7 linked regions of the Coturnix japonica genome follow. The protein of the gene in region 1 purifies or fractionates together with the protein of each later gene. This does not show direct contact. Links are inferred from orthologs where the notes say so. Each region holds a gene or a part of one and is shown in the gene's direction. Other genes may lie near its edges.

Region 1 (4,287 bases):
TGTATGTGCATATATATATGTATAAATCTAATATTATATATGATACCTTAAATACTCCACTTTGATTTATGCTGATGAGGTGACTAAGAGAGATGCTACAAGGTCAAGCAGGACTAATTGAGGTGTTTGGAAATAAAATACTTTCCTTGCCTTTCCTTTCCCTCTCCTCTTTTCTGTACTTGACTAGAACTGCACAGTGAACCCTGAAGACAGTATCCTGAAAAGAGTGGAAAGCCTTGGACACATCTTCAAAAAGAAATTTGCTGAAGCAGTTGGGCAGGGATGTGCTGAGATTGGCTCACAGGTAAGTAGCATTTTGATTATTACTTGTTATAAACTTGATGCTAGCTAATGTGTGACCTGACTTACTACTTTGTCTTCAGTGCAGATTAACAATAGAAAGTACTAATCTTTTCAAGGAATGGATATGCTTTTCTTTTAATGCTCTGTAAAGATAGCATTAACAAGTGGTTCTTGTTAATGCTATGCTAATACTAATGCAAGCAAAAACAAAAAAGCAAGCCAAAAAACATAGGATTCTTAATTTTTTTTCTTTCTTTTTTTTTTTTTTTTTTTTTTTTTCCCTCCTTTCTAATAGAGATACCAGCTTGGAGTACGGCTGTATTACAGAGTAATGGAGTCTATGCTGAAGTCGGTAAGTTTCGTACTGATAGCTGTGTACTGGCATTGCATTTTTGATGGCTGAAAATAATCAAAGCTTCATTTATATACCTCAGGAAGAAGAGCGTCTCTCAGTGCACAATTTTAGGTACGTACCAACCACTGATCATTATTACCTGTTATTTTATTTTTGGGATAAGTATTAATGATTTCGTTTTCCCTTTAGCAAACTTCTGAATGATAACATCTTCCACACATCTCTTCTGGCGTGTGCTCTTGAAATTGTCATGGCTACATATGGCAGTAAGTTGAATCCAAAGTGCTAAGGAGCACTGTTAGTGATTGCGAATTATTGCTATTTATTCTAATATGTAAAATGCAGTAAATAGCAAGGAAACTAGCAATGATTTAATAAATACCAAACATGTGAGAAGTGAAAGAATGTAATGCTCTTGGTAATCGTAATCTGCTTCCCTTACAGGAACTGCTTCACAAAGTGATGGTACCAGTACCGAAACAGACTTGTCTTTCCCGTGGATTCTCAATGTATTTGATTTAAAAGCTTTCGACTTCTACAAGGTGATTGAAAGTTTCATTAAAGTGGAGCCAAGCCTAACAAGGGACATGATAAAGCATCTAGAACGCTGTGAACATCGCATTATGGAATCTCTTGCTTGGCAATCTGTAAGTAATGTTTTAAAGCAGTTATTTGTCCTTGTATAACATGCAAATCTAGAAAAAAATACACCTAGATATATAAAAGAAGTTGAAGTCTTGCTGAGATGTGTTTCTGGCAAAGAGCTAAAGAAGATCTTTAGTGTGTCTTCAGGTTTTGGGAAGAAAGAGAGAGATCAGCTTAGCACTGCTGAATTATGTGCCAGCATCTTTCAATAGTCTGGCATGGATATTAAGAGTAGTAATGCCCATACACAGTATTTTGGTGCCAGTAGACAAGGCAGTACATTCTATGCACTTATCTCTAAACTTCATCTGGTTTTTAGTCCTGCTTGACTGTAAGGCATTGTGCATCTGATGTGATTGTTAATAGTATTTAAAATCCCAATTCTCATTGTAACTTGCACTGAAATTCCTTCAACTTTTTTGAATGGCATCAAAAGCATTCTGGCAGGTTGGGTTTTGTGTTTCAGGGTGAATCTTCGTAAGTCAACAGCTGTTTCTTTATACTGTGTATTAGTTATGTACCAAAAATGCTATTAATGGTACAAAACAGGAGACTATAAAGGCTGCTGACAGAATGACATGAAGTGACCATTTAAGAACCCATATGATATCTTGTAGATCTGGGAAATTTAAAGAACATTATATGGCATAACTAATATGATATTCTACTGTGAACCAAGTTTGTATATGATTTTGGTTAGATCTTGGTGAGATGCACATGCCTCTCTGCTGCTGAATGCATAGAATTTCTTTGAAAAAGACTGCCTGAAAGCACTTGAAGATTGAGAGCTTTGTACCAGAGCTTATAGTAGCAGAGAAGATGAAGAACTTTGCTCAAAATGTTTAAAGAATGCTTTGCTTATTTGAGAATTTTAATGCTTGGAGGGTAATGACAGAGATACAAATACTTAAATTTTACTCTCCACAAGCAGAAAATGGCTTCTGACACCTCATGCAGACTGGTTTGATTCCAGCTTAATCATGAGCAGGAAGGCTTTAATCTACCAATTTCTACTCAGTAATCCAAGCACAACATGCAGATAATCTGATTCAGATTTGGGCTTTCAGACTGGAGAATCCAAAACACAGTGTTTTCAGTATTGAATCTGTTGTCTTGAGTTGCCTGAGGTGTTTGGCACTGTCTTGGAGTGGCTTATGCAGCTTATTTCAGAGGCTGTCAGTAGGTATCTGTAGAATTGCAAAAGCACTTACTTTGTTCCCTTCTTATATAATGCTTGGCCTGTACTTAAAACACAGCTAAGCCAACATCCTCCTCCTTGATACAGGCAGGCTCATCACTAGAGGGCACAGCAGGGCTCTCAAAAATGGAGGGTAACGTGCTGACAGCCAGCTATGTGCTGGCTGCAACTGGACTGTTACTCTCCACAGTTACCCTGTGACTCTGTGGCCTCCTCATAGGAGGTCCTCCCTTCCCTCTAGAATTACTATTACAGTAAATAACTTACATAACTGACAGTTACTATGTTGTTAAGGCTAGCTGGTTAATTAACATTTAGATTTAGACTACCTCAAGTACTCGGGTGCAGTTTGGGTTTGTAAGAAATTAGTGTCCAAAGGACGGCTATAAAGATGGTGAAGGGTATGGAGGGCAAGTGGTCTGAGGGGCTGCTGAGGTCCCTTGGTGTGCTCAGCACAGAGCAGAGGAGCTGATGGAGGCCTGATGGTGGCTGCAGCTCCTCACAGGGAGCAGAGGGGCAGCGCTGAACTCTGCTCTGTGTGACAGCGACAGGGCCCGAGGGTAACAGTTAAGCAAAAGGAGGAAGTATTTCAGTGGTAGAAGTCTGCTAAAGGCTTTGGATTTCCTCAAAAGATTGAGCTAGTGAATGAGTGGGTGATTTATTGTATTCCTCTGTGGTTTATTCTCTGGATGCTGTCTCCATGTACTGATGTGCAAGATGAAAAAAGTATAATCTTAATTAGTAATTTCCTCAGTAAAGGGTATGTAAGTTGAGATGTGTACTTTGTAAATGTCTCTTATCTCCAGATGCTATAAGGGAGCAGAATGGGTAGGTAACTTATGCTTAGTTATAATGCATGTCTTACAAGTGATTGCAGGCAGAATGGTTCATTAGGAGGTTTGTCTGCTCTTGGGAAGTCAAGTGTATCGTCTGTGTTAATCCAGTTTTTCTTCCTTCTGCTGACTGCTTTTGGAAGCAAGACTATAATGTGAAATTTGAAGGGATGGGGAAATTGAAGGGAGAATAGCTGATTTTATTGTAGTTTTACTTGTTTTGAGAGTTTTCATAAGAATGCTTTACATAATTTCTCTGAAGATAAACTCATCTAAAGAGCTCATCTAACCCTTATCTGACACTGGAAGCTATATGCAGTAAACGTGAAAGACTGAAGATAATACATTGCTTCTTTGCTAGTCATCATGAATACGCTTATTGCTTTTTGCATTGCTAGTTGATTTAGTTGTCTGTACATGAGGAAGGAGATCAAACAGCTCTTTTCCATTAAGGAAAAAAGAAATCATAAAAACAACAAACCAAAAAACCCCACCCCCAAATAGTGGAAAAATATGGAAAACTCTTCCCAATAATACTTAATTCTGAAAAGGGGCAAATGTTGACACTAAGTCATGCAGAAAGTATGGCATTTTCTTTAGATCTTAAATGAACCCTGAAGTTAGAAGCCCCTTTTATCCCAGTAGAAGTTATCCACAAATGAATTTGTGCTGCTTCCAGATGCAGATTATATTCAGACCAATTTGCTACATATTTTTTATTCATAAAGTATACCGTACTATCTGTATATTTAACTGTAAAGCATTTGTACCTCATCTCATTGAAGTATTTAGGGTGCTACTTACATTTGGTAACTTGATTTAAAGGGCCTAAAATTACTTCAGACTCAAAAATAAAGGTGTCTGTACCCCTTGATTCATTTTCACCTTATTGATGATATAAGTACATTTTAAACCTTGGAATGGTTGGTCTGTTTCCTATGAGAAACACTTTT
Region 2 (4,287 bases), on another chromosome or scaffold:
TCCTTTCTTGCACTGTCCTCCTTGTTCACCAGACTTTATCCTGCTTGAGTTCCTGCTTTACTGTTTCTTCTGGTTTAAGGTCAGGCTTCTTGGGGACGGGGGTTGTGTTTTCAGTTTGACAGTGCTTGGGGCCAGATAGTTTGTAACAGCCTGTGGGAGCTTCCTGGAGACCAGCAGACAGATTATTGCTTGGTTCATTGAGCAGTTTGCATTTTATTGCACCTGTTTTTCTTCCTAAAAGAGTTTGCTTCTGAACTCAGACCACACCAAAAACCTTAGTTGTTAGTGACCAAAAGGAAGTGGAAACACACTGTGCACCGACTGTCTTGTGAAAACATTTGGGACTCAGCTATCAAGAGAGATAGAAAGGCAGTGCCTGTGATGTTGAGGCCGTTGGGTCTTTAAGTTTAAGCTTTCTTTGGGCTTTATTATGCCTTTTTAACATCATTTAACAATATTTTCCTTAAGTGTAGATTTGTTAAAGGACTCCCATCTCCTCCACAAATCTTGTGCTTCTAATCCCTGCACTTTTGCTGAGCTGACCTTTTGTTACCTGTCTGTAATAGAAGGATGTGCTGTTCTGCTGTCTGCTCTGTGGATCGTAGGGAAGATGATCAGTCCTTCACGCAGGATGTTGGTGAAGCGTGGACACAAACCACACTAAAGTTTAAATATTCAAACTGAAAGCTGCTAACTGCTCGGTCTTTATATGCCTGCTTTTACAGCACTGGTATTTCCCCCATTCATGTTTCTCGTGTTAAATATAAACCTGGATGCAGATTGGGAGCAGCTCATCTGGGTTTGTTGTGTTCTGCAGGACTTGGAAAGGAGATGGTGCTGTCAGCCTGGCTCTCTGTGTCTCTGTGCAGGGGCCAACACAGCCAGCACCAGGCAGCTCTTGCTGATAGAGGCAAGGGAACATCGGCTTCAGGTGTTGGTCCACGTGAGGCTGCTGTGCTGTCTCTGCTGGCAGGGCAGCTCTTCCAGCTGTGTGCCATCCTATTCACAATTCAGACTGGGGAAGATGAATGAGTTCTGTGGAGGAATCGGCTGGAAAAATGCTTGACTTTTCTCGGAAGGGTTGCTTGGAAAGAAGTTTTGCAGGTTCTTTATGCCCTCAGGGTTGGTACGTTCAGAGCTCCACAATCTGCTTAGCAGCTTGAGTGGGTGTAAATGGCAGTCCTCCAAAAGAGGGAAAGCTGTGTGGACTTTGAGAAGTGCCAGGGGCTCTTTGTCAGCATTGGAACAGCCTGTGCCCTGTGAGTGCCGACCTGCTCTGTTTTCACAGGAGACACCCTCCTTGCAATTCGAGCCCCTTCAGGCACACGCTTAGAGGTTCCCATCCCTGAGGTGAGTGATAAGTGCGTGGATAGAGAGCAGCTGTGTGCTATGGGGGAGTGCTGCTGCACTGAGCAGGCTGGGAGTTGGGAAGGAGTTGGTGGTTGTGGTTTTGATGGAGTTGGAGGAACTTGGAACTCAAGGAAGGCTCTGACTGTTAAATAGTTGCCAAGATGATCTGTTTGGAAAGAGCTCTTAATGTACATCTGTGTTTTGCTTCTGACTTTTCTCAGGGCCCGAGTAGGCAGAAGAAATATCAGATCCATCTGAAGAGCACCAGTGGGCCAATTGATGTTCTCTTAGTAAACAAGGATGCTTGGAGCTCTCCTCCAGTGGTGCTACCCGTCCCACCCCCTGAAGACCTCATCCAGTGCCAGGCAGTTGCACCCTCAAAACCACAGATCCCTCCGCTTGCCCACTTCCAGGAGGCATCTGTTCCCAGCAGCACCCAGCCCTCAACGCCAACACCTTCCAGCACTCAGGATCACAGCCCTCCTGAGCAGAAACACACGAACACAGGTGAGAGGGAGGTTGCAGAGAGCAGAAATGGGATGGTTGCCGACCAATAGGGCAGTACAAACCTGGTCATACAGCACTGTCAGCTCCTGGCAAAGGGAGCACCTCTGTGCTTGCTGCACCGAGCCTTTGCTTTCATCTTAGTGGGACTGGATGTGCTAATGGAAATACTGTGTGTGTCTGTGGCTCCTTCCAGAATGCAGCATCTCAGTGCTGGAGTCCAAGAGCAGCAGTGACCTCGATCCCCTCAGCAATGTGTCTGCACCCAGCAGCCATACAGCCAGGCTGGACACGCAGCTGCTGCAGTCCTCTGCCTCACTGGACAGCAGCTCTGTCCTACCCAGCCCCTCTGCCTCCTTTGAGCCAATCAAACCTGATCCTGAAGGAAGTGAGTATGCACCCTTGGTTTGTTTGTCTCTCCAGATTGTGCCACTGGGAGCGAGGGAGGGGCTGCTGGCTCCAGGGGGACGAGCTGAACTCTGTCAGCCAGACCACATGAGCAGTGAACAGGCATTTCTTTGGGGGGAGAAACCACAGCAGTGTGTGGGTGCTGGGGAACCTGGTGTGGAGATGACAGTGTCACATCTAGTGCCGTGTCACTACCTGTGATGCTAGGCTCAGAAAAGCCACAAGGGATGCTCACGTGATGCATCTGTGCTGTTCTAGGTAGGATTATTCTCTTTCAGCCCCTTTTGTAGTGCTAGGTCTGAGTTTTGAGACTGTGAAGCCTTCACTGACATCACTCTTGTAACTTGTTCGGTTATTAGGAGAGCTCTACTCTCTGTTTTTCTCCTTTACTCAGAAGTACTTCTTCTATCTGTAGCAATCTTGTGGTCTTATTGTCTTCCAGTATGTGTCTGGGAAGCTTCCTGCTGTGCTTGTTGAGGTGCAATGGGCTTTAAATGAGGAAGTGTTAGCTTCAGACTGGGAAATGGCAGGCTGGTCCACAGACAGAAGAGCATCCTCTGGATAAGACACTGTGCTTTAATGCTTCGAAGCTTACCTTCCATGCAGAAGTACTTAAAGTTAATGTGTTAGAAGGGGATGGTGCATAAGGACTGAGAGGATAGCAGGGCAGCGGCTGATGAAGCTGTATAGTATTTCAGATGCTGCATTTAACAAAGTCAATCATTTGGTTTGTTATATTCACAGTGCTGGAGCTTCCCAAAGAGCTGTCAGAGATGTTTGATCCAACGAGAGGTACGTTCACACCCTGATCACAGATGAGAGCTTTTCAGGCCCTGTGCCAGCACTAATCTGTGTTCTGCCTTCCCACACTCCTCTTCCAACTTGCCTGCATCATCTAGAGCCACCAGCAAAACCCCTGTTAGTCTTGTTTCAACTGCAGCGTGCCACTGTGGATTTCTCTCTGCAGTAATGCATGCTGTTTTATGGACTATTCCTCCTGCTTTGGAGGGGTGAAGTTCAGATCCAGGAGTGAAAGCTGTGAAGGATTTTGCTTGTTTTACCCTCATCTACTGAAGAAGGTCTAAAAATATAGGTTCTGTATTTTACTGCTATTTATTTTAGCTCATATTATTCCTCTCTGGTTACCTCTAGTTGAAATCCTCTCATCTCACAGCATGGAACTAGGCAGGGTACATTCCTGTTCTTTAGGAAATGGCCTGCAGTGCATCAGCATCTTGAGGACGGGCTCATCTGAGTTTGTTCTGTGGAAGATCACTTCACTTGTGGGTGATGAGGGCCTGGCCAGGCTGATTGAGATCATCACTGTTTAACTTGGTGAAGTGAGAGAGGGAATCAGAAGGTTGTTTCCAAACACTTCGCTTCTAAAAGGGGAAAGATCCGCTTGCACACGCTTGGCCTGGCTGCTTGCCTGCCAACCTTTCAAGTGCTTCGTGGTCCTGTTGGCCAAGTTCAACATCACTGGAGGAAGGAACGATGTTTCAGAGATAATTTCTGCTTGTAGCCTTGTGTGGGCAGTGGAGCAGAGAGCAGTTAATGGCCCATTAGGGAAGGATATACAGAGCTCAGATGTTTGCTGGTGGGCAGCTGGCCAACCTCCCATGGCATATCACAGCTGTGGAGTGAAGGGATCCAATGAGGAGGGACGAAGAGGACAAATATGAATGAAACTGGAGACTGATTAGTTCTGCTGCTCCTGGAACAGCTTGTTTCTCTTTCTCCTCCCCGCTCTAAAGTGAGTGTGTGTAACTGAGGAGTGCATCTGGCTTTACCACCTCAGTTTCAGATGCATGTGGGGGAGTTTCCTTTGGGACTGCAGCTAACACAGCACTGCAGGGATAAGGCATCACCCTTCATGTGAGAGCACTGGGCTTGTGGCTGGGCTGAGCAGGAAGGAACCTCCTGCAGAATGGTTTGGTGCTGCCTGAATGGCCCAACACACGTGGCTCCCTCTGCCCAGGGCAGGAGGCTGAGCTTCCTGCTGCCACTGCCTGCACCCACCTTGCC
Region 3 (4,287 bases), about 99 Mb from region 1:
TTCCTTCAGAATAGGTTAGTTGTCTGCTGAGTTTGATAGCCTCTGGATTGTGACTGCACATGTTTGGAGAACTGTTTGCTGATAGATCTGTTCCACAGGCAGTGAGGGAGTATTTCATTTGTTTAGAGTTCACTTATGGCCCTCATCATTCTGTTGACTGGGTCAATATGTGATGGTCTTGTGTCTGCTGGTGAATTCCAGCAGCTCAGACAGAAACAGCAGTATTTCCTGGGGCTTGCTAGTTCTGTCTTACCAGTAGGTGTCACTAAAGCCTGTAGGAATCATAGAGAACATTGCATTATTCCTTATCTAACTTTTGGGCTGTTTAGTAATGTTGAGGTAATTAATATTGAAACGTAGCAAGTAAATTGATTCATATATTTTGGCAGACTATTACTTGTACTTAAATAAAATGCAACCCTCTGTACTATATGTTCTAGATCACTACATTATAGCTCACTTTGGTTAAGACTGGAAGGACTAAAATAATATGTTCTGAAGTTGTTCTCTGTTATTGTCCTGTTTGTCACTTTTTTTCTGTGTTCACATAATACATGTGGTTAGGTATCTTCTGTCTTTGGAATCCAGTGAACTACTGGTTTTCAGTATCTGGTTATGTGTATTAGAAGGATTGATTATCACTTTGGCATTTGACCATTTTCACTTCTGCTTATGTGGTATAACATGCCTTTTGTTTTAGACATAAGATTTCTCCAAGGTTGATTGAGTGGATGAGTACCACAGTCTATTTCTGTTAAAGATGTTTTTGTGTCTACACACAAAAAATATCTGGCTTATACTTTAAACATCACTGTTCATGTACTTTGCAGTTGGGTGCCATCTTTTTTTTCCCTCAAGTAATGCACTTGTTTTTATGGTCTTTTTTTTGTTAGGGGAGAGCCAAAGACGTGGTATGGTGTGCCCTCTCATGCAGCAGAGCAACTGGAAGATGTGATGAAGGAGCTGGCTCCTGAGCTATTTGAATCCCAGCCTGATCTCCTTCATCAGTTGGTCACTATCATGAACCCCAATGTGCTGATGGAACATGGTGTACCAGTGAGTAGTACATGAGCGTTTTATCCACTCAGTTTCATTTTGTGCCAGATTTGTGTAACTGGAGAATTTATATGGTGGACCTCTACATCTCTAGTACATTAGTTACAAGGTGGCGTTAAAGCCTATTTTTTGAATCCTTTTTGAGCTTCACCATGAAATTCAATTATCTTGTATCAGAAAGAGGGTGTGCCAAACTTCTTACTTAAAATGTCTTGTAGAATAAATGAATGTGGTGCTACAGTTCATTTTAATGGATAAAACCCTTCTACTGTATTTGCCCGTAGATTAGTTTTAATATATTTTGACAGTCAAACACTGATGTTTTATAGAAGTTTCAGCTTTGCAAACTGTTTTGACCAAGCATTACTGACAGCAGACCTTTACGCAGCAGTCACTGTGAATTGCTTTTTGTGTTAGGATAAATTGCTTCTTGGACAAACAGTCTGGCAAAGCAAACCACAAACTGCTTCTAGAAGCTTTTACGGGTTGTGGTGGATTAAATAATGATAGTCAATGATCCTTTTTTGGAATTCATGAAGAGAATTTTAAACTGCTGGATTAGATATCTAGCTCTTACTTTTTTTGAATTAACACTATAAACTGAGGATTTGTTTTAAAGAGAAAGAATCAAACCTTATTACTTAGATATGTTGACTACAGTGTTGTATAGGTAATGCAAGTGATGTTCAGTACATTCGAATTGCGTTGCAAGTCTTTCAGTGCCTTTTTTTCTCCCCCCCACCATCCTTTCTTTTCACTTGCATTAGGTGTACAGAACCAATCAGTGTGCTGGCGAGTTTGTTGTGACCTTCCCTCGTGCCTACCACTCTGGATTTAACCAGGGATACAACTTTGCTGAAGCTGTGAACTTCTGCACTGCTGACTGGGTCTGCTCTTTTGTATATGTTTTCTATGTCTCCACTAGGTGACCTTTTCAAGGAGAGCGTTAGTTATTTCTTATCTGGTGTGATCTTCTATGCCTCACAGTGTGTTTTATGTTTGTAGTTCCTGGAACAACTGCAAGACTGTTGTTAATTTCCATTGCTGAAAATGATTTTGGTGTCCACACAATTTTAAACAGCTTCAAAATGAAGCTTTCACATGTGGTCTTCCTTTTCAAATATTGATCTTGCAGTTCTTCTGCTAGTTTTTCTCTAATGCGTCTTCCTGGATTTCATATAGATTATTGTACTGCTTTGAACAGCTGTTGTCATTTGAATTTAGAGGTAGGCATAGAACTCTTGTCCTTTTGTGTCATATCATTGCATTTTTTTAATCGTGTTAGTCCATATTCTAATAGACATGACTCACCAGAACATAACCTATATGGATTCCTCACTAAGTTGTTAAAAGTGTTCCTTAGCACTATTCAGAGTTTATGGTTATAAGATAGGATCTCATCTGTAGTTTAACATCCAGAATTTCTTCATTTATTAGGTAAATTGTCTGTGGACTTGTCAGATTTTTTTTTTTTCTTCTATGCTTATGACATATTCTGTGTGTAGCCCACGTGAAAACTCCTATTCTGACACTAGGCAAAATGTAACCCAGAAGTGCATAGGAAATTGGTCGAGTCATGCTTTCTTTTTGTGCTTTAGAAGACACAAAATGATTGATACTGGCTTTGGTTAACTTCAGTCCAAACGTAGTTATTTCTAGATGGCAGTGTGTCTCACCTCTTTCCCATAATACATCTTTCTGTTTTTCATTCTGTCTTTCCCTGGATTTTGTGAAGGAAAGTGGGTGGTGAGAGATTGTCTCAAAATGTTTTGTCTCTAAATGATTAATGACAATGATTTTTGTAGCTTCCAATTGGACGTCAGTGTGTGAGTCACTACCGAAGGCTTGGGCGTCATTGCGTTTTCTCCCATGAAGAACTGATCTTTAAGATGGCTGCAGATCCGGAGTGCTTGGATGTTGGGCTGGCTGCCATGGTCTGCAAGGAGATGACACTAATGATAGAGGAAGAAACACGCTTAAGGGAAACTGTTGTACAGATGGTAAGTAATGAAAGATAACTCTTTTACTCTCAAAAGAAATTTTGCTCCTCTCCCCTTTCCTCTCTGCTTCACCTGGACTAGAGTTTTTAACAGGTGTCCAATTTTCTTTTTAAAGGGAGTGTTAATGTCTGAAGAAGAGGTGTTTGAATTGGTTCCAGATGATGAACGTCAGTGCACAGCTTGCAGAACAACGTGCTTCTTGTCAGCTCTTACGTGTTCCTGTAATCCTGAGCGCTTGGTCTGCCTATACCACCCATCTGATTTATGTCCGTGCCCCATGCAGAACAAGTGTTTAAGGTATGCCAGTAGTTAGTTATTTTTCCCTTTCCAGATCAATAGTGTCTTGAAGACTGATTGCCAAATATCACATTTGGCCACTCTTTTTCTCTTCCTTTATTTAAGGAGTGCTTTTATCCTCTTTGTTTGATTCTTGGGTTCAAGGTAGAGGTTATTATACATATTCTGTCCTGACCTTATTTTAACTGGGAAAACTCAACAGTAAGCAATATCCTAAGGTGTTGTGTAAGCATTAATACTCTTGCTTTATTTTTCTCTCATATCTCCAGGTACCGGTACCCACTAGAAGACCTTCCATCTTTGCTGTATGGAGTGAAAGTTAGAGCACAGTCTTATGACACTTGGGTCAGTAGAGTTACAGAGGCTCTGTCTGCCAACCTCAACCACAAAAAAGGTTAGACTTCCATTCTTTGTTGCAGGAGTTGAAAGGCATCCTACTTTTTCTGATTTAGTGAGACAAATCTCTGTGTTTAGTGAAAAAAATGAATGAGAAACTCATCTTTGTGCATTTGAAATTAAACTAGCCTGTTGGAACCTTGATGTAAGGGTTGGGAAGCAGTCTAAAATGTATTTTGTTTCTACATTCATACTATATGCTGTTATTACAGATGTAATTGAGCTCAGAGTGATGTTGGAAGATGCTGAAGACAGGAAATATCCAGAAAATGATCTCTTCCGTAAGCTTAGAGATGCTGTGAAAGAAGCAGAGACCTGTGCTTCTGTAGCACAGCTGCTTCTGAGCAAAAAACAAAAACACAGGTAGGACAGATTGATTTATTTACTTACTTTTCTACAGCTTTTATCAATTTTGTTACTTGGTAGGACCTGGAAATGTAAGAAAACCGAGTTCTCACTGTCTACTAATTACTTCTGGTGTTTGCCTTTAGTGCTGTTGACTTATTGGGAGACTGAGAAGACATACAGTTATAGCAAA
Region 4 (4,287 bases), on another chromosome or scaffold:
TTGCTTAATGGCGCTTAACCTTGACAGACAGAGTCTCTGCTTCTGAAGATGTTTTCTTTTTCCTTGTGTTTAGGTAGGGCCAAAACTTTGCTTGTTTTTTTTTTTTTTTGTGCTTTTTGTGTTAGATGAAAGTTCTCTCACACTTGTTTTGCAACCAGTGCAGAGGACAGGAAACCTGGGGCTCAGAGTAAGAAAGCTGTGAGAAGGTGGAAAAGCAGTTCAAAAAATGTTACCTCTTCTAATAGCCTAAACATATTGTAATCTGGGTTGGAAAATTCCTTAATGTGATTACATTAGCTTATGTGACATACCAAGATATTCGAAAAATTAGTGGCCTTAAAGACCAAACTGTTATAGTTGTGAAAGCTCCTCCAGAAACAAGACTTGAAGTGCCTGACCCAGTGGAGGTAAGGAGAACGTGGGTTATTCTGTTCATTATTCTATACATGGAGTAAGTGTACACCATGCTTTACTGTAAAAACTGTGCCCAAGTTGAATCCTGTTGGCATACAATTCTGTAATCATCTGTCTCAAAAACTTCAGGTGTTTTTTAAAAAAGGTGAATCTTAAACAATAATTTTACACAAAGTAATCTTTATTCGATCTTCTTCTCTTAGTTCCAGACTTCCCTTCAGAGTAATCAATGCTATTTACAACTTATTCTCTTTTGCCGTTCTCTATGTAAATAATGGGTTCTTCTTCAGTGGTTGAACATTCCTGTAAAACCTTTCCCTTAAGACTTTTGACTATTATTTTTCTAGCTTTAAGTAGTTTTAGTCTTTTAGTTCAGGGATAAATTAAAGTCTTAAACATCTCACTGTCTTGTATTACTGATATCCTATTTAGAAGAGAAACATGTTTTCATGTAGGATTCTCTGAACTAATAAAGCTATTGCTGAAGCTTGTGTTTCATTCCTAGAATCTTTTCTGACTTCTCCTTCTTCCATCATCCTCTCTATTGAAATATATATTAACACATCTATGTAGAATGTCTTACATTCTGCTAGCACACTTTTTTTTATTACTGTAAAATGTGTAGAGGTTGGAGGTTCCCTTTTCTATTTAAAGACTTCAGAAGCTGCCCATGTTCATCTCTATCTCTCCTCTTTTGCCTCTTGCTGCTTAGGCCACAGTGCTTAGGCCACAGTCTGTCTCTCAGTGCCAGCTTTTGTCTATAGGATGTCCGGCTCTCATTCTATTTTCCTCACTTTGTTTTTTATTTCAGGTAGATATCCAGGTGAATTAGTCACTTCTCACTTCCTTTCTCTGACATTACAGTTACAGTGAAAAATGCTTCTGGTGGCTTTGCTTTGAAAATATCCACAGGGAGCAGCTTCACATCGTTTCTCATGTCTTATGAGCCACAAGATTTAGCTGCTCCTGGGATTTTAGCTTTTGGTGGCAAAAGTGTGCTGCTTTACAGCTCCCAGTTAACATGGCAGACCCATGTATGTTGGGCAAATGTAAATGCTCTACGTGTGCCACAGCTTTAGAGAGTCAAAAAACATCTTATTTCTTCACTTGGAGAGCATTTAGAGATGAGGCTAAAGCACAAAATCCTCTGTGCTGTGTACGTTCCCCTGTGTTATTCCTTTGTCACCATCACTGCGCTGATTCCATTATCCCAGAGCTACCTGCTCCTGGGCAGGCAGTAACAGACTCCATGCTGTCACTTCTCTTACCAAGGTTCTTCTTCACTTGTGTAGGCTCATTGTGGTTTCCATCTTATTCTTTTTTCCTTTCACTGTCCTTAACTTCCTCATTGAATGCAGATGTAGGTTTGGGAAGAAAAAGAAATTGCTACAGAGAGGAAGGGGTATCTTTTATCAGTATCTATCTGTATATGTAAAGAATTCTGTTTCTTTCCCCTAAGCATTACACTTACATTTTTGAGTGAAATCAGACAGGTAAAGAGAGAGGCACACCATGATTAAAAGTAGTACCCAGACCTCTCTTATCCTATATACCCTCACTCCCTTATCCTATATAGCTCACTCATTTAACTTTTTTTAGGCAGTAGGAGTCCTATTTATTTCTTTCATTTGCAGTTATATTTCAGTGACTTTTTTTTGCATACCTCAGTCACCCAACTGTATGTTCTCCAACTCCTGCTCTCTAATTACATACAGCATCACTCTAAGTATTCCTAGCTGTTATCTGTGCCCTGAGGTTCTTGTTCTCGTTCTCTGTATCTGAAATGCTGCCTACAGTGCCATATAACTGCCAAAGCATAAATAACATGAAGAACATTTTGTCAAAGTACACAATCAAATGCATTTTAATTAAACCTGCCAAGAAGCATACAACATCTGAATTCATGTTTGTTTTTGTTTTTAACTCTATTAATGTAATACAGCCAGAGCAGGCTTATGTTTAACTAGAGGCATTTATTATTTTTTCCTCGTGACACTATGAACAACTTTGGAGATGTTCTGTCTGTCTGCAATATACCACTTCGCTTTATTGCATCAGTGTGTGAAAGCTAAGAAAACTAGTTGAAATGAATTAAGAGATCCTGCTGTTGGGAGCATCTTTAAAACTAGAGTTGCTTCCTTTGCTTCTTTGAGGGGGGAGCAGAAGTGCATTTCTAAACAGGCTTTATTGATGAAAATGCTTTTGTTGTTGTTTGGAAAAGCATCCCCCAGCAAACGGGTGAACTTTCAGCTGTTTGATTTCAGTGTGAATCAGTACCAAAGATTTTCTTTTATTAAAGGTTGTTCTGACACCTTTTTGAAGCAGAAGTGTTTACACAGATACATCCAATATCAGTGTTAGAAATAATGACTTGGATACCGTAGTTCTGTTCCACCAGAATACTCCTGGTTATTGTGGGCATTGGAAATTGTTAGGAGTTCAGTCCTTTATAACTCTCTGGTTATGATGCAACACACGATGGACTTCTCTTTTTTTTGGGTTAGTGCACAAATCTTAGAAGCCTTTCGTGTCGTCACAGCTGTATGTTGAACTTCGCATTGTTTTGATTAGTAAAAAAACACATTCAAACCTTTTGTTACTTGTACCCCCTTAAGAACTTACTGTGAGTCTCAGTGTTCTGTGGTCTTCATTGCTGTAACATCTTACCCACGTTTGTTCTGTTACCAGAGTGCACTGATACATTTATCTAGTACTCAAGGACCTATTGAAGTTTATCTGTGCCCAGAGGAAAACGATGCTCTCAGTCCAATGAAAACCTATAGTCAGGACCACAATGGAAACATTTCCAAAACCATTTCCAAAGGTAAAATGATTACTTTCTAATACTAAAAGTCTTCCTTCATGCTTTATACAAGATTTATTTATTTGTTTATTTGTTTTTACTTCTGCTACACAGCTTTTATTTTTTGGCTTTAATTTTCAAAGAAGTGGCAAGCTGAGGTACCCATTATCCACTATGTTCCTCCAATGTATATTCAGGGGAAAACATTTCCTCTCTCTGACAGGAGTTTAAAAATAAGAGTTGTATTTGCATATGATATGGAGCTATGTAAGCAAAGTATGTGACACATTGGGGAAAAAGAAGAATTGTTCCTACAATGTTTTGAAACAGGGTGGCTGCAGCAGAGATCATTCTCAACACCAGCCAAAGATTTCTGTGTATTGGTATATAAAGCTGCACAGTGTCACTGATGACATCTGTTGCATAGAAGGGTTGCACTTGGGAGTACTTCAGGTTTGTGAGCTCCTCTAACAAAGAAAGTCATCCTTCATGCATCTTATTCAGTAGTTGTTGAGATCTTGGATTTTTTATTTTGTTTTTTAACTGGAAAAAAATCAGTGCTGATAGAAACCTGAGATTTTTTCTGAGAAGCCCTTTGTTAAGATGTCAAAAATAGGCTACAAATTATCTGATCTCGAGGAATTTTTTTTGCTTAAATGATGTTTTATGATGGGCTTATATGCAGTTGTTACTTTATGTTATCCAGGTCTAATAGTTCTCATGGCATTCAGTGTATCATCTTTATTTTTTCTCCCCTTCTCCAGAAGTGGCTTCCGTTAACTCAGGACAAGGTGACTGCTCAGTAAATATGGCAACAATCTCTCCATTGGCTTCTCCAGCCAACCTACTACAGCAGACCGAGGACCAAATTCCCTCAAACTTTGAAGGACCATTTGTGAATTTGCTGCCTCCTCTGCTTCAGGAAGATTATTTGCTGAGCCTCGGGGATGAAGAAGGCATCAGTGATCTCTTTGATGCTTATGATTTAGAGAAACTTCCTTCGTTGGTGGATGAATTTATATACAGCTGATTCTCTTAAATGAAGTGCGTATCTAATCTGTGTTTTTTAA
Region 5 (4,287 bases), on another chromosome or scaffold:
AACTCAGTGACCAGGAGATTATGCTGATGCAAGTGCACATTCCTCTGACAGCTTTGTGCAAATAACAGTCATTCCAGCTATGCCAGGAACCTCCACACTGCTGACAGCTCCCCAGCCTTCCTCTTCCACAGCATTAAAGCTGTCACTGCACTTACAAGGAACTGACGGGGTGTTTGACTGTGATAGCAGAGAAAGCCTGTCCTCAAAGGACACTTGTTCAAGCACTCAGGAATCAGTTGATACTAAAACCAGAGCTGTGTTACTGTGAGCACGGGAGAGCAGTGGTGTTGATTCTGGCACATCTTGCTCTGGCGTGGTGTCTGCAGGACAAGGTGCAAAATTCTTGCAGGCAGGGTAGCAAAGTGTGAGCAGACAAATTAATGCAAGCAGGAAAACTGGATCTCAGCTTCTTTAAACGTGCCACACCATTTTGACATGATCTTTTAGCGCTCTGAGTGCCTGGCATTTGGCGTGGGCTCAAGTTCAAGCTGTTCCACTGCCAGAGCACTCTGTGGTGAGAGACCTGGGGATTGAGTGGGAGGAAATAGAAAATGAGCTGTCCCAAAATGAACACACGGCATCAATTTTTAAAAAGGAGATGCTAAAATGGGCCGGTGAAACTGCTCCGTGATGCAAGATCTGCAATTAATTCAGAATGATGAAGTATTAAAAAAGCTCCCTTGTGCATTCAGTGTTACTCCTGCAGTTTGGTGTTCAGTAACATCGCATCCTTTGGATTTTTCTGCTGCCATTGTAGGAGCTTTTGCAGGTGTATTAATCAGCAGCTGCTGAGAGTTGAGCCCTATGCAGGGTCCATCCTCACACTGGTGTATGCTGACTTCTTTGGCCAGTCACTGGGAAGCCAATCCCTGTTTGGCACAGTGATGGAATGCAGGCTGGAGGGGATGCTCTATCCCCCTTTAATATCAGCTCTCTCTTCCCAGTGGAACTCCTGGTCCTTGCCACCCACCCTGCCATGTGGCCTTTCCCTTCCTTTGATTTTCTTGTCCCCATCTCCTGCCCCAGCAAAACCTGCTCTTTTTTCTCCTTCCACACTCTGAGGCTTTTTCTCTGCCTCAATTTAGCGGAGGGTTGTTGGAGTTAGGGTACTATGGTTAGGCTGTGGTTGGACTTGATGATCTTTTAGGTCTTTTCCAACCTGAGTGATTCTATGATTCCCTGCTTTTTCTGCTGTGTGTTCCTGCTGCCTTTCCTATGCTGCATTTGGAAGCTGCTGGATCCTGTGGGAACAGATGGAACTCGGTCACTCAGCAAAACCAGGAGAGCTTTGTGCTGAGCTGGCTGAGCGAGGGGCTGAGTGCCAGGCATGCTCAGGGAGGTGCCTGGGGTTATGGCTGCAGTGAGTGAAGGGCAAGATGAGGGGAAAAGAGGCAGCTTTCCACTTTTACCAACAGCAAGTAGGTCTGGAAGCTTTTGATGTTGTCTTTTTTTGTTGTTTTTCATCCCTCCTTTCTGCTCCCCCTGGTTGTTTTTTATCCAAGAGCACCTCTTAATGTCCTGTGAGTGTCTCTTCTTTTCTGTGACACTGTGGTCTTGAGGTGATCAGTCATCAGGATTCCTGATAGTCCTTGTGGGGGTCCAGCCCCACCTGCTGGTCCCACCCTCCTGGCTCCAGCTGTCTCAGGCAGCAGCCTCTGAGGAGCAGAGCTCCACACATTCACATTGAAAGCACCGTGCCTCATGCTGAGCAGTACAGTTGCACAGTAAAGGAGATGTCATGTTTGTTAGGTTGTATTTTACTTCTGAAAAGTATCCAGGGTCCTGCCTGGCCCAAGGGAGGTGCGCTGTGGGAGCTGCCCCAGCATGTTCTCCCTCTGGAGAGTGTGCTTTAATTAAGACAAGCTTTGAAAGATGGAAGATTTTGTTACTGCTTTCAGTGTAGCTTTAATTTCCCCTTTTTGGGTATGTGGTGTTGATTTTTAACTTCCTGTTTATTGAGGTATGCGTGTTAAGTGCCAAACTGGCAAATGTGTGTTGTCATGAGAACTTTAGTTCGAATCCATCCGGCCACGTGACTGTTTTTAGCTGACTTTCCAAAGGAAACAAAGCTTATGCAAATGTTCCATCTGCCTAAGAACCTTCTTCAAATGAATGTCTGAACTTACCAGCCCCTGGAGGCGGCTGTGATGGAGGGTTGGAACCTCCATTACATCAGGATGTTGTGACTGGTGAGGCAGTAGTGCTCCCCATGAGGACAGAGCTGAAGTTTGGATTCGACTGCCTTTTATTTTTGCTGGTTTGCCATTTGTCCAACCAAAGCGAGGGGGGATAGTGTTGGAAAAAAGGGATCAGAGAGTGTATAGGAGAAGCTGCAGTTATTATGAAGGACTGGAGTTGCAGTTATGGCTAAAAGATAGGAATCTGTTGGGAAACAGGCTTTATGGAATGTTGCATGTCAATGAACGTGAATATCAGGAAGCTGGTGTACTGGAACACTTTTAGATACACTTTGTGTGGGTCATTTGTCAGCCTGAGGTTTCTTACAGTCAAAGCAAACACAGCTTTGGACAGCATGTAAGTCTTGTCTTTCTCTTGAAGGTTTTCAAGCCATACCAGGCATCGCAGCATGACATGTGCAGATTCCACTCCGAGGACTACATAGACTTCCTGCAGAGAGTGAGTCCCAACAACATGCAGGGCTTCACCAAAAGCCTCAATGCCTTCAATGTGGGCGATGACTGGTGAGTGCTCTGTGCCTCCTGTGAACCTGGGGGTGGAAATGCTGCTGTGATCTTGCACTGTTTGTGTCTGGAGAACTATTGTAGTGTGTACTGGTTCTTATTTTTTAAGCAGAATGAGGTGCATGCCCTTCTTGAGCATAGCAGATTATTGCAACCTCCTCAATTCCTTCCCCTTCTCTTCATATCTTATCATCCTCCTTTTAGATCTGCATTTACATCCTAAACTGGTTATGTTAGAGACTGTGACTCCGCTTGTTCTTGCAGAACCTCCTGTTCTTCTTGAAAATATTATATATCTATTTTTTTAAACTGTTGCCTATTTTAGCTACCTTAATATGTGCATGTTAAGTGCAAGGTAGCTCTGAGAGCCTGATTTTCAGGTAGAACTGAGGAGAGTTTAATGCTTCTATATTCACATGAGAGCTTGTTACAAATATTCAGTTCCAGTCTTTCACATCTGTGAGAGGCAAACCTTGACAGAAGTGTGTAGAAGGGCTGTATGTGATCGAGGAAGTGCACAGTATGCCTTGTCTGAGGAAAGTAATGGCTGTCAGAGAATAAGACTGTTCTTTTCTATTCTTTGGAAGGGAAAGCTGTAAGTACTAATGTGAGAGGAGTGACATTAGATAAAGAACAGTGTTATCCCAGTAAGGTATTGGGATAGCCGGGTTTTTAATATTTAGACTGGGAATCAGAAGGCTGTTGTGCAACATTACTTTGATCAGAAACCACTTACAAGAATACAGGGGGGGAAATAAAAGTCTCTAAGCTATTATTTGTCCACGTATAATGTTTGTGATGTGATACTTGTGAGTTAGTGGCACATGGGCACCACATCTTCTGTTTCTATACCCTCTTAGAGATCCTGGTGCATTTATTGGCTCTGCATGGTGGGTTTGGTCCTGCCTCAGCTCTGCTGTAAGAGCTGCATTCACATCCACTTACTGTATATTGCATCCTGTGCTGTGAGTTGGGAAGGGGAATGGGCAGGGTCTTCTCAATGCTGATAAAGGAAGATAGCATGGGGCAGACCTGTCCTCCTTCCCAAGTCATATCCCAGCTCTGGACACACATCAGCAGGGCTGCAAGACAGATGCTGGTGTGTTGTGGCAGAGGAGAGCTCTCAGGACTGGCTTTGCTTGGGAGGCGTGTGGAGGAATAAGAAGATGTCCTTTGTTTGAATCATGACTTCTTTTTTTCTTTTTCAGCCCAGTGTTTCCAGGGCTCTTTGAGTTTTGCTCTCGCTACACTGGGGCCTCCTTGCAGGGAGCAACGCAGCTGAACAACAAGGTAACAGAGCTGATGGGCTTGTCTTTGAAACACTGGTAGGAAACAACTGGCTATCAGTTCAATGACATGAATGTGTTTAGTATAATAATGTAGCAAACTATGCTTTTTTGCAGTGTAAATTCTTTCCACTATATGACTGTAAAGGTTAAGACCATTCCTATGTCATTACAATGACAAAATTATAAACTCAGTTAACTTGGAAGAGACTTCTGAGATTATCAAGTCCAACTGTTCACCTAACAATGCAAGTCTACCACTAAACTAAATCCTTAAGCTCCACATCCACAAGTCTTTT
Region 6 (4,718 bases), on another chromosome or scaffold:
TACAGGCAAAGATGTCGCTTCCTCTTCAGACAAACTGCAGGTCGGAGTATGTCAACCCAGAGGTTGGGCCACATTTTAGTTTGAGGTTTTACAGCGAGACGGACAAGTTGAGCTCATTCTTCAGGAGAAATGTGGGCTGTGGGGGTTATGGGTGTGTGTTGATATTACAGCATGGGTTGTGGGCTCACAAAGCATTGAAATGAGCAAACAGTGCAAAGTAACGTGTTATGAAAAGGAAAAGGGGAGATGATCTGGAAAGTATCAACCAGATGGGGAACACGGTGTTGTGCTGAGCCACCAACCAGAGAGCAGCGTCAGAGCTTCCGAAGTGTGGGTCTTACTGCAGGAAATCACTGACTCCCTGCAGAGCTAAGGAACCTGTTACAGCAGTGTTCAGTGTGGATCTCCTTCTGAGACTGAGTTTGGGCTGTGTCTAAGTTCTGAGGAGTAACAGGTTGGTTTAGAACCATGCACAAGTGGTGCTTACTGCAAACTGACCATTTCAGCATCTCCAAGCTGAGCAGTGTGTGCATACAAAGGCAGCTCGTTCTGCAGGCACTGAAAGCCAATGCCAGCTACAGCAGTCACCGTCCATCTCCTTTCCACAATGGTTAAATGCCTTTTTCTTGTAATCACAGCATCTGACATAACTTTGTAAGCACTGCATAAAAATAACCAAATGAACTAGAAAGAAGTTTTAAAGACACACATGACTTTTTATTGAGGCAGTATTTGAGTTCAGATCTGGGTTTAGCACATGGAACTTAGGAGGACTGCAGGAAACCAGGCACTCTGCCTGGCTTCTGTTCTGCTGCCTTCCTTTCCCGCAGCACGGCCTGCTGCGTTGCACGGCCTGCTGTGTTGACTGTGAGCTGCTTGGGGCCTTGGCAGCTATGTGAGGGAATGCTCCATTTTGCATATGGTTTATTAATGCTTTCGTTTAAGCTTCTTACGTAACTGCAGGTATTGATAAAGGTCTTGTTACGTGTGACTGTTTCGTAGGGAATGATAAAGAACAGAAAGCGCACGGTCAGCACATTCCTGGGCCTGTGATTAATAACCGCCTGTGAGCCGTCCCACGGCAATAACCATCCGGCTCTCGCTCCTTAGCTCAGGACCCTGTTCTGGTGCCGATGGCTGTTCCCTGCCGTCCCTGTCCATCAGTAACACCCAGCTGTGCTGTGTTTCCCTGCACTCCGTTCCGCTCCCCGCCCCGCTCGCTCCGTCCCGTTCCCGCCGTGTCGCGGCTCCACACGCATCTGAGGCGCCGCCTGGGAAGAGGCGCCCCGCCCTTCCGCCCCGCCCCCTCTCGCAGCGGCCTCCTCGGATTGGCTGGCGGCGTGTGTACACACACCAGGCGCGGCCAATGGTGCGCCGAGGGCGCCCGACCTCGCGCGAGGCGGCGGCCAATGGGAGCGGCCGGCCGGCAGACGCCGCCAAGCTTGTGCGGGGGAGAAGGAGCCGGGCAGAGCGCGGCGGGATCGGGCCGGAGCAGCCGCGCAGCGATCGCGGCGCCACGGAGCGGGACTCGCGGCCTGTCCCTGCCGGGCCGAGCTGCGGGGCTCCTCGCCAGGCGGCGGCGTGTGGAGCGGAACCGCGGCCGGTAAGTGAGCGGACGGCGCGTCTCGGCGCCTCAGCGTCGCCGCCCGGGTCCGGTGGCGCTGCCGCGTTCGTTCCCTTCTCCCGCCCGGGCCTGAGAGACACGCGTCGGGATCCCGCCGGGACAGCAGCGCCTTCATTCGGGCCGGGGATTGCGCTTCAAACGCGCCTCGAGAAGGACAGGGCCTGCACCGCACCACGGCCTGGGTGTGACTGCGTGAGGCGGGGTGTGTGAGTGTGTGTGTGTGTGTGTGTCTGTGCCGGTGCGGCCGCTGACCTGACACCTGCGTTGGCCGCGCGCTCTCCCGGCTGTGTTTGGGGCTCCGCCGGTACGTGACACGGCGCAGGGTGCCGCGGGGCCTCTCGGTGACGGGCCGGTGTGAGCGGCCGGGCCGCGGTGCCGATGGCGGCGGGGCGGAGTGGGGGGGTTGTTGTGGGGGGTCGTTGTGGTGCGCGCGGTGCCCGGGGACGCGCCGAGGCCGCCACGACAAAAGTTGGAAGCGCCGCTCGCCGCGCCCCGCCGGATCAGGGCTGAGGGCTGAGGGCTCAGGGCCTGCCCTGCACGCCGTAGGCCGCACGGGCTTCAAGGCGGAGGCGAATGGCGGGGTGAGTGCGGCGGATCGGATCCGGGTGTGCAGACAAAGGGAAGAAAACAGCTCGTAAGGGAGCTAACTCCGAACGGGGGAGAAAACCGCAGCGCGGGGCTGGCAACGGGCTGCGGAGCGCCGTGCTGTGCCGTGCATTACTGTGCTGTGTATTGCTGTGCTGTGCCGTGCCGTGCATTGCTGTGCCGTGCATTGCTGTGCCGTGCATTGCTGTGCCGTGCATTGCTGTGCCGTGCATTGCTGTGCCGTGCATTACTGTGCTGTGTATTGCTGTGCTGTGCCGTGCCGTGCATTGCTGTGCCGTGCATTGCTGTGCCGTGCATTACTGTGCTGTGTATTGCTGTGCTGTGCCGTGCCGTGCCGTGCTGTGCCGTGCCGTGCCGTGCATTGCTGCGTCGTGCATTGCTGTGCCGTGCCGTGCATTGCTGCGTCGTGCATTGCTGTGCTTTGCCGTTCCGTTCCGTTCCGTGCCGCCCTCACGTGCTGCTCCGCTCCTTGTGCCTCCTGCCCCGCCGTGCTGTGAGCGGACACAAAGCGGGTGGTCGCGTCTGTGCGGAGCGGCGCCCACTGACTTGCTCACTCTTCAACACGGCGGGTGGGAAATTCAGATGCGATGGTTACGCGACCGGTGTTTTTATTTTGGAAATGGGTTCGGTTATTTTCACGGGTCTTTGTTAATATTCCTCGCTGTTGGTTTCTTTCAGCTGCACAGTTGTACTGTAAGGCAGTAGAAATGAGGTCAGAACCAGAGCTGCTTTTGTGGTACTGTACACATCTACTGCACACATCTCGACTAGATGTGATCTTGTATTAAAAAAAAGCCAGAACATATACATAGAGAGAGGCAGAGACTGTATAAATTGATGCTACTAGAAGAGAAACGAGTAACAGCTTTGCCATTTCTTTGCCTGCATTAAGGCTTGTTTTCCTGATTGTAGCACTTTTTACCTTGTCCATGAGTGCAGTGATGTGCTCACACGGGGCAGACCCGTGGCTGCTGCTGGAGCACAGAGGTGGAACAGCATCTCGGGACGTTTTTGCTGGTGCTCTGTATTGCATGGAGGCATTTTTGTACATAGCCAAATTCTGCATTTTGAGAGCCTGTGTTTGCAGTAACCTGCTGGGCACCTGATGCAGCACTTCAAAGAAACGTGGAAGCTTAAGTTCACGTCGCAGAAATGAACATACATCAAATAAATGGTGAGGAGAGGGAGAAAAAGCATAAATTCTTGTTGGGAAATGGTTGTGCAGTGAGCCTGGTGCCTCTGGAAGAGCTAAGAGTAATGGCTCTGAGAATGGTTCAGTTCTGTACAGAGGAAAAGGTGGTTAATTGTTAGATATTGGTAGGTTTACCTCATGGCTGTGTGTTAGACTGATCACATTTTACAGACAAGCTGTTGGGGCTTCTTGTAACCGCTTCCTGCTTGCACAGAAATCACTGTGCTAACAGAACCAAAAGAAGCTGTTTGACCTGCGTGAGGTTGATAGAATTAGCGTTGCTGAAATCATACGGCACTGATGGGAAGGCCGCTGTTCCTCTAGTGGGTTCCAGTGGGTCGGCTCACTTCACAGAGTGGTGAGGCTGTGCCTTGTGTGCAGCAGCTCAGCACAGCTCTGCCATGTGAAGGAGCAGGCTGAGCAGCACAGCAGGGCTGTTCCTGCTGCAGGAGGACTCCTGGTTTGTTCCTGTTCTTGTGTGTATTGGACAGTATTGCAGGAGCCTCCTATACATCTGGAGCTGCCTGTGAGCAACCACCAAGTGAAGATAAGGCTTTGTATTTTAGCACCTTCCACTGGGTTTAGCAAGAAGTAGGAACTGTGGTTCCAGCTTTCCATCCCCTTCAGGAACACGTGATGTTGGTCATTTGAAGTCAGCAAAACTCGCTGTGCGTTGGGGAGAGCATGGTGCTCATCTCTGAAATGAGCTGACCGGGTCAGGGGAGGGAAACTGCAGCCCGTACCGGGCAGGTTCAGTAAGCTGAGGTTTCTTTCTTTGTGTGCTTTTTCTGCACATACTTGGAGGTGTAACGAGTAAGAATTTCTCATTTACTTTTCCAATTGTATTCGTAGGACACAACTACTAATGAACCAACAGCGGGTTGTAAAATAGGGAAAATAAGCTGGCAGTTGTCTGGCCTGGTGCAGGAAATGTGCTTGTGGAGGTGGTTGTGTGTACAGAACCAAAAAGCCACTGGAGCCAATGAGACAGGCTCACAATTGACAGGTGTTCAGAGGAGAGCAATGCACAGAACCAGTGTGCATAGGACATGGAAACCAATGGTGTGAATGTCTGTTGTGGGGCTTGAAGAACTCAGCACATGCTTCTGTATGCTTGGAAGCAGTGCAGAAAGGAGCAGATACAGCAGTGGAATGTTGGTTTTACAACAGCTGCCTGTTCTGATTCTTTGTCTTTTTGTAGCATCCATTGTTAGAATGAGAGCCGCTTGATTTTTCCTGTGTTTCTGGATTTATAGCAGCTCTTCTGCAGGTTTTGTTATCTTACACTAATGGCTC
Region 7 (4,287 bases), on another chromosome or scaffold:
CATTACCCCTAGTCCTGTCCCCACACACTACTGAAAAGAGACCAGCCTCACCAACTATGGCTCCCACACTCAGGTATTTATAAACCTGGATCAAGTCCCCTTCAGTCTTCTTTTCTCATGGCTAAACAGACCCAGTACCTAAGTCTCTCCTCATAGGGGAGATGCTCCAGCCCTTCACATCTTAGTGGCCCTCCGCTGGACTCTTTCCAAGAGATCCCTGTCTGTTTGTACTGGGAGCCCAGAACTGGACACAATATTCCAGATAGAGCCTCACCAGGGCAGAGTAGAGGGGAGGATCACTCCTTCGACCTGCTGGACACGCTCTTTTTAATACACACCCAGTATGCCATTGGCTTTTTTGGCTACAAGGCACAATCTGCTGGCTCATGGTTAATCTGTCGTCCACCAGGACGCCCAGGTCCCTCTCAGCAGAGCTTCCTCTCCAGCAGCTCTTCCCCAGCCTGTATGCATGCAATATTTCTAGCCAGGTGCAAGACTCTACACTTGCTTTTGTTAAACCTCATCCGTTTTTTCCTGCCCAGCTCTCCAGCCTGTCCAGGTCTCGCTGAATGGCAGCACAGCCTTCAGTGTCATCAGCAAACTTGCTGAGGGTGGTCACTATCCCCTCATCAAGGTCGTTGATGAAGATGTTGAACAAGACCGACCAGCACGACCCGGGGGACGCCGCATGTTACAGGCCTCCAGCAGACACCGCACCGCAACGACAACCCTGCACTCTGACAGTCAGCCTCTCACCCACTCACGCCACCTCATCTAATCCCATACTTCCTCGCTGTTATAAAGGATGTCATGGGGGACAGTATCAAAAGCCTTACTGAAATCAAGGTGGACTACATCTACCGCCCTCCCCCTGTCCACCCAGCTAGTGACATCTTCATAAAAGGCCACCAGGTTGGTCGAGCACGACCTACCCTTGGTGAACCCATGCTGAGTACTCATGATAACCTCCTTATCACCCAGTTGTCTGGAGATGGCATCCAGCACAAGCTGTTCCATCACCTTCCCTGTTTTAATACTGTTCTTAGGCTGCAATGTCACGAGTTCTTATTTGAAGAGGGATGACGTTAAAATTGTGGGAAGCACCTGTGTGTGTGTGCTGACTTGTCTTTTTTGCTGCTTGACTTCTTGTTTGGAGTTGTTTTATTTCAGAAACTGCTTTTTTTTCTTCCTAAAGTTACTGTGCTTCCCTATGAACAGGAAAATAGGTTTTTTGCACTTGGATAAAGAAAAATAAAAGCTGAAATGTAGATGAAACTCTTGCTTCTTTTATACAGGTATCTTTATGGTTTTGAAGAGTACTGCCGTTCTGCAAACATTCAGTTTAGGACCATTCATCACAATGAACCAAAAGTGGTAGAAGACATACAGAAACACGAGGAACCAATGGAGGAGAGTGTGAAAGAGGAGCAAAAAATGCCTCCAACAGAAGTCAAAAAAGAAGCAGAAGAAAACTATTCCAGCAGTGAGAGCGAAAAAGAAGAAATAGAACTAAGATCCCCGAGGGTAAGTAGTTCAGACTGATTTCTATTTAGTACTTAAAACCCCTTTGTATACTGAACAGTTTACATAATGAGTTTTCCCTTGTGCAGCAACTGTACATTTGAATTAGCACTCTTATAGGACAGCATTCAGTGAACAGGAGTTGGTGTTCAGCTGTTAATTGTGTTTTGATTATTCATTTTGTAAACCTTCCACAGGGTTTGCTAAGCCTGTGTTGGTTATCAGTTGTGTTTCTGTTTGGGGGTGGTTAGAGAGCTGTATGACAGCAGAACACTGTGAACAAGCAGGGTAGTCCTGGTTATGGGTGAGAACTTGCACTTGCATGTGGAGCCTGGAGCTTTGTGTCAAGCAGGCATATCAGGGGACTGCTGAAGCACTAAGAATCAAAGGAGGACCTGTTTTTTTACCACAGAAAGAGTTGATTCTTAGCACAGTATTTCTTCATAATGTACTTAAAAGGTTCAAGTCACTATGCAGTGTCCCTGTCAAAGATACTTTCATAGTAACACGGTAAGCCTGTACTAGAGCCCCAAGAATCAGTCGAGGAAAGTCCTAAACAGCAGTTTGTCCCACTGCTGAAAATACCTTTTAAACATTCAGTATTTCTAAAGCTGACAGATGAATCCTGTGAATTCAACAGGTAGCTACTGGGACTGGAGGCACTAAAAGGAAGGTGCCACGTCTCAGTCCAATATGAGCACTTCAGCAGTATTGCTGTTGTTGTCAGGGACAGCAGACCTTACAGGCATCTTGGAATTCTCCCAACCTCATCTTCTTTATTCCTGTTGATAACAAAACTACTTAAGTTAATCTATTAAGATTTTAGAATATTTTGCTCTTTGGTGTTAGTTCCAGCTTTTCTTCCATCCAGACGTAGTGTATTTGGGGGGCCTATACTGAGAACAAGTGACAGTAGATTTTAATCAGGTTTTATTTCTGTTCTAGGGACGAAGACGGCTTGCCCGTGATGCAACCCCTGCTAAAAAAGATAGTGAAGATGATAAAACACAAGATAAATTGAAAGACAACAACAAGGAAAACAAAGATATAGAGGAAAGCCTTGAGAATGCAGAAAAGAAAGAAAACGAAACTCTACTAGGGAGGAAAAGTACACCAAAGCAAAAAGAGAAAAAGATTAAAAAGCAGGAGGAGTCTGATAAAGAGTCAGATGAAGATGAGGAGAGGCAGAGGGAGAGGTAAGCGTTAATTTGTGTCACCTCAGAAGTGTATCTTTGTCAGCACAGAGCATGTTCCAAGCAAGATTATCCTCAGACTTTGGAGGTCTGACTGGTTTCTACAGTGTGAAAATCAGAAACCTCATTTGCTCAGCTGGAAAGGGAAAGGAAAATGCTATTTTGGGCTTGTAGAGTTTATTGTACCTTAAGGTATTGCCTTTTTTTGGTAGACATGGCAAGCAGTATTTTTAATTTCCATCTTCTTGATGGTCTTGCCAAGGTCTTGTTTTATCACACTCCTATATAGGCAACAAGTAAGACAGGGCTGTTGTATGGATGGTGAGCAACTGGGCAGTTGAAATACAAAACAGCCTCTCTGTTGTTAGTGATAGCTGGTGAATGTACAATTCACTTGTTTTCATGGGTACTTTTAATGTATCATTGGTAGGCAGAATTTCAGCTAAGGAAGCAAAGGAGAGGAAAAGAGGAAGTTTGAATGAAATGTGAAGACAGGTTGAAAACTACTGGATAGTGAGATGTAGAAAGGGCAAACTGACTGAAGAGTGGTATCTTCCAAGGGAAAACACTGTCCAGAAACAAAGTCTGACAAGTTGAAGTGGGTTTGGTCAGAAGCAGGCTGTCACCAGGTGTCTTACCTTGTTGCCAGAGTAGGCCTCTTCTTCGCTATCCCTGGCTGTGGTATGGAACAGTATCTTAGTTGTTTAAGCTGGCCTTCCTGCCTTGTTTTCAATGTGGCTGAGTTGTGTGGGACACAGCTGATACTGGATAAAGCCTGGTAGAGCTGTTTCATGTTTTAAAGGGGTTTGAGGAGTGGGAGCACACACAGTTAACTTTAAAGAAATCATCACTGTGCAACCCAAAGAGAAATCTTTCAACAGACCATAGTAGGTAAAAAGGGGGTGCAGTGTGGGTGGGTGAGAGGTTGCAGAGTTATGTCAAGTGATGAGGGCATCAAAGACAGTTTTCTTTTATGTAATGCAGGTGGTGCTCATCATCTTCATTTTTATTCTGTTTGCCACAGCAGAATAGTTCATCTGACCCTGAAGGCTGGTGAATGCGTATTATTAAAAGTAAACTTGTAGTCTTTCAGGATTGCCTCTGCTGCTGACTCTTTGTAGCTTAACATTCTTCTAAGTTCTTCCTAACAGCAGGTTATGATTGTTGGAATTATAGTTAGATATTGTGTTTTAAGGTTGGATTTTGCTAATAAGATGTAGGTATAGACAGAAGAGCTGTGTAGACACTTCTTATCTTGGTTAAAACTATGGTAATCAATATTTGTTTCATTGGAATGGTGTTTATATCCTGGAGGGAATCGCTGCACTCTAAACTTTCATATGCTGTTAATAAATTTTAAGCTGTTAAGCAACATGCAGAAGGAAGAGATTATTATTTACAGCAGTGTGTCAAAAGCAATTATATTTTAAAAACTGAAGTTAGTTTTTCCTGTCTTAATTAGAAGCCGAACACTGAGTTTGATTTATTCCTCTGTCTGAGTTATCTAAATTTTCATTAAAATCCTAAGCCTGCAGAGTTGTGTTCAGTCTGGCTCCAGTGGCAGGGCGTGATG

What was found.
Region 2: the proteins of RB1 (region 1) and E2F4 purify together in Homo sapiens (affinity purification with western blotting; 10 studies listed by BioGRID and IntAct, with this or other methods). This does not show direct contact. The link is inferred for Coturnix japonica from reciprocal best matches to the Homo sapiens genes RB1 and E2F4.
Region 3: the proteins of RB1 (region 1) and KDM5A purify together in Homo sapiens (affinity purification with western blotting; 4 studies listed by BioGRID and IntAct, with this or other methods). This does not show direct contact. The link is inferred for Coturnix japonica from reciprocal best matches to the Homo sapiens genes RB1 and KDM5A.
Region 4: the proteins of RB1 (region 1) and E2F3 purify together in Homo sapiens (affinity purification with western blotting; 9 studies listed by BioGRID and IntAct, with this or other methods). This does not show direct contact. The link is inferred for Coturnix japonica from reciprocal best matches to the Homo sapiens genes RB1 and E2F3.
Region 5: the proteins of RB1 (region 1) and HDAC3 purify together in Homo sapiens (affinity purification with western blotting; 3 studies listed by BioGRID). This does not show direct contact. The link is inferred for Coturnix japonica from reciprocal best matches to the Homo sapiens genes RB1 and HDAC3.
Region 6: the proteins of RB1 (region 1) and TFDP2 purify together in Homo sapiens (affinity purification with mass spectrometry; 4 studies listed by BioGRID and IntAct, counting the BioPlex papers as one, with this or other methods). This does not show direct contact. The link is inferred for Coturnix japonica from reciprocal best matches to the Homo sapiens genes RB1 and TFDP2.
Region 7: the proteins of RB1 (region 1) and ARID4A purify together in Homo sapiens (affinity purification with western blotting; 3 studies listed by BioGRID). This does not show direct contact. The link is inferred for Coturnix japonica from reciprocal best matches to the Homo sapiens genes RB1 and ARID4A.

Annotation. Positions count from the first base shown.
Region 1 is NC_029516.1:151,039,227-151,043,513, forward strand, and holds part of RB1 (retinoblastoma-associated protein), read left to right. Parts: intron 1-187; coding exon 188-304; intron 305-598; coding exon 599-655; intron 656-737; coding exon 738-769; intron 770-847; coding exon 848-924; intron 925-1,102; coding exon 1,103-1,305; intron 1,306-4,287. UniProt on the Homo sapiens protein: Tumor suppressor that is a key regulator of the G1/S transition of the cell cycle. The hypophosphorylated form binds transcription regulators of the E2F family, preventing transcription of E2F-responsive genes.
Region 2 is NC_029526.1:1,547,875-1,552,161, reverse strand, and holds part of E2F4 (transcription factor E2F4), read left to right. Parts: intron 1-1,288; coding exon 1,289-1,350; intron 1,351-1,571; coding exon 1,572-1,857; intron 1,858-2,050; coding exon 2,051-2,242; intron 2,243-3,006; coding exon 3,007-3,054; intron 3,055-4,287. UniProt on the Homo sapiens protein: Transcription activator that binds DNA cooperatively with DP proteins through the E2 recognition site, 5'-TTTC[CG]CGC-3' found in the promoter region of a number of genes whose products are involved in cell cycle regulation or in DNA replication.
Region 3 is NC_029516.1:52,349,864-52,354,150, forward strand, and holds part of KDM5A (lysine-specific demethylase 5A), read left to right. Parts: intron 1-893; coding exon 894-1,056; intron 1,057-1,823; coding exon 1,824-1,943; intron 1,944-2,861; coding exon 2,862-3,056; intron 3,057-3,171; coding exon 3,172-3,353; intron 3,354-3,622; coding exon 3,623-3,747; intron 3,748-3,961; coding exon 3,962-4,112; intron 4,113-4,287. UniProt on the Homo sapiens protein: Histone demethylase that specifically demethylates 'Lys-4' of histone H3, thereby playing a central role in histone code. Does not demethylate histone H3 'Lys-9', H3 'Lys-27', H3 'Lys-36', H3 'Lys-79' or H4 'Lys-20'.
Region 4 is NC_029517.1:69,384,060-69,388,346, forward strand, and holds part of E2F3 (transcription factor E2F3), read left to right. Parts: intron 1-292; coding exon 293-407; intron 408-3,102; coding exon 3,103-3,238; intron 3,239-3,981; coding exon 3,982-4,247; 3' UTR 4,248-4,287.
Region 5 is NC_029528.1:14,736,859-14,741,145, forward strand, and holds part of HDAC3 (histone deacetylase 3), read left to right. Parts: intron 1-2,169; exon of another isoform or gene 2,170-2,189; intron 2,190-2,559; coding exon 2,560-2,702; intron 2,703-3,910; coding exon 3,911-3,992; intron 3,993-4,287. UniProt on the Homo sapiens protein: Histone deacetylase that catalyzes the deacetylation of lysine residues on the N-terminal part of the core histones (H2A, H2B, H3 and H4), and some other non-histone substrates.
Region 6 is NC_029524.1:8,785,264-8,789,981, reverse strand, and holds the start of TFDP2 (transcription factor Dp-2), read left to right. Parts: upstream 1-1,428; 5' UTR 1,429-1,603; intron 1,604-4,718. UniProt on the Homo sapiens protein: Can stimulate E2F-dependent transcription.
Region 7 is NC_029520.1:50,214,485-50,218,771, reverse strand, and holds part of ARID4A (AT-rich interactive domain-containing protein 4A), read left to right. Parts: intron 1-1,295; coding exon 1,296-1,524; intron 1,525-2,466; coding exon 2,467-2,717; intron 2,718-4,287.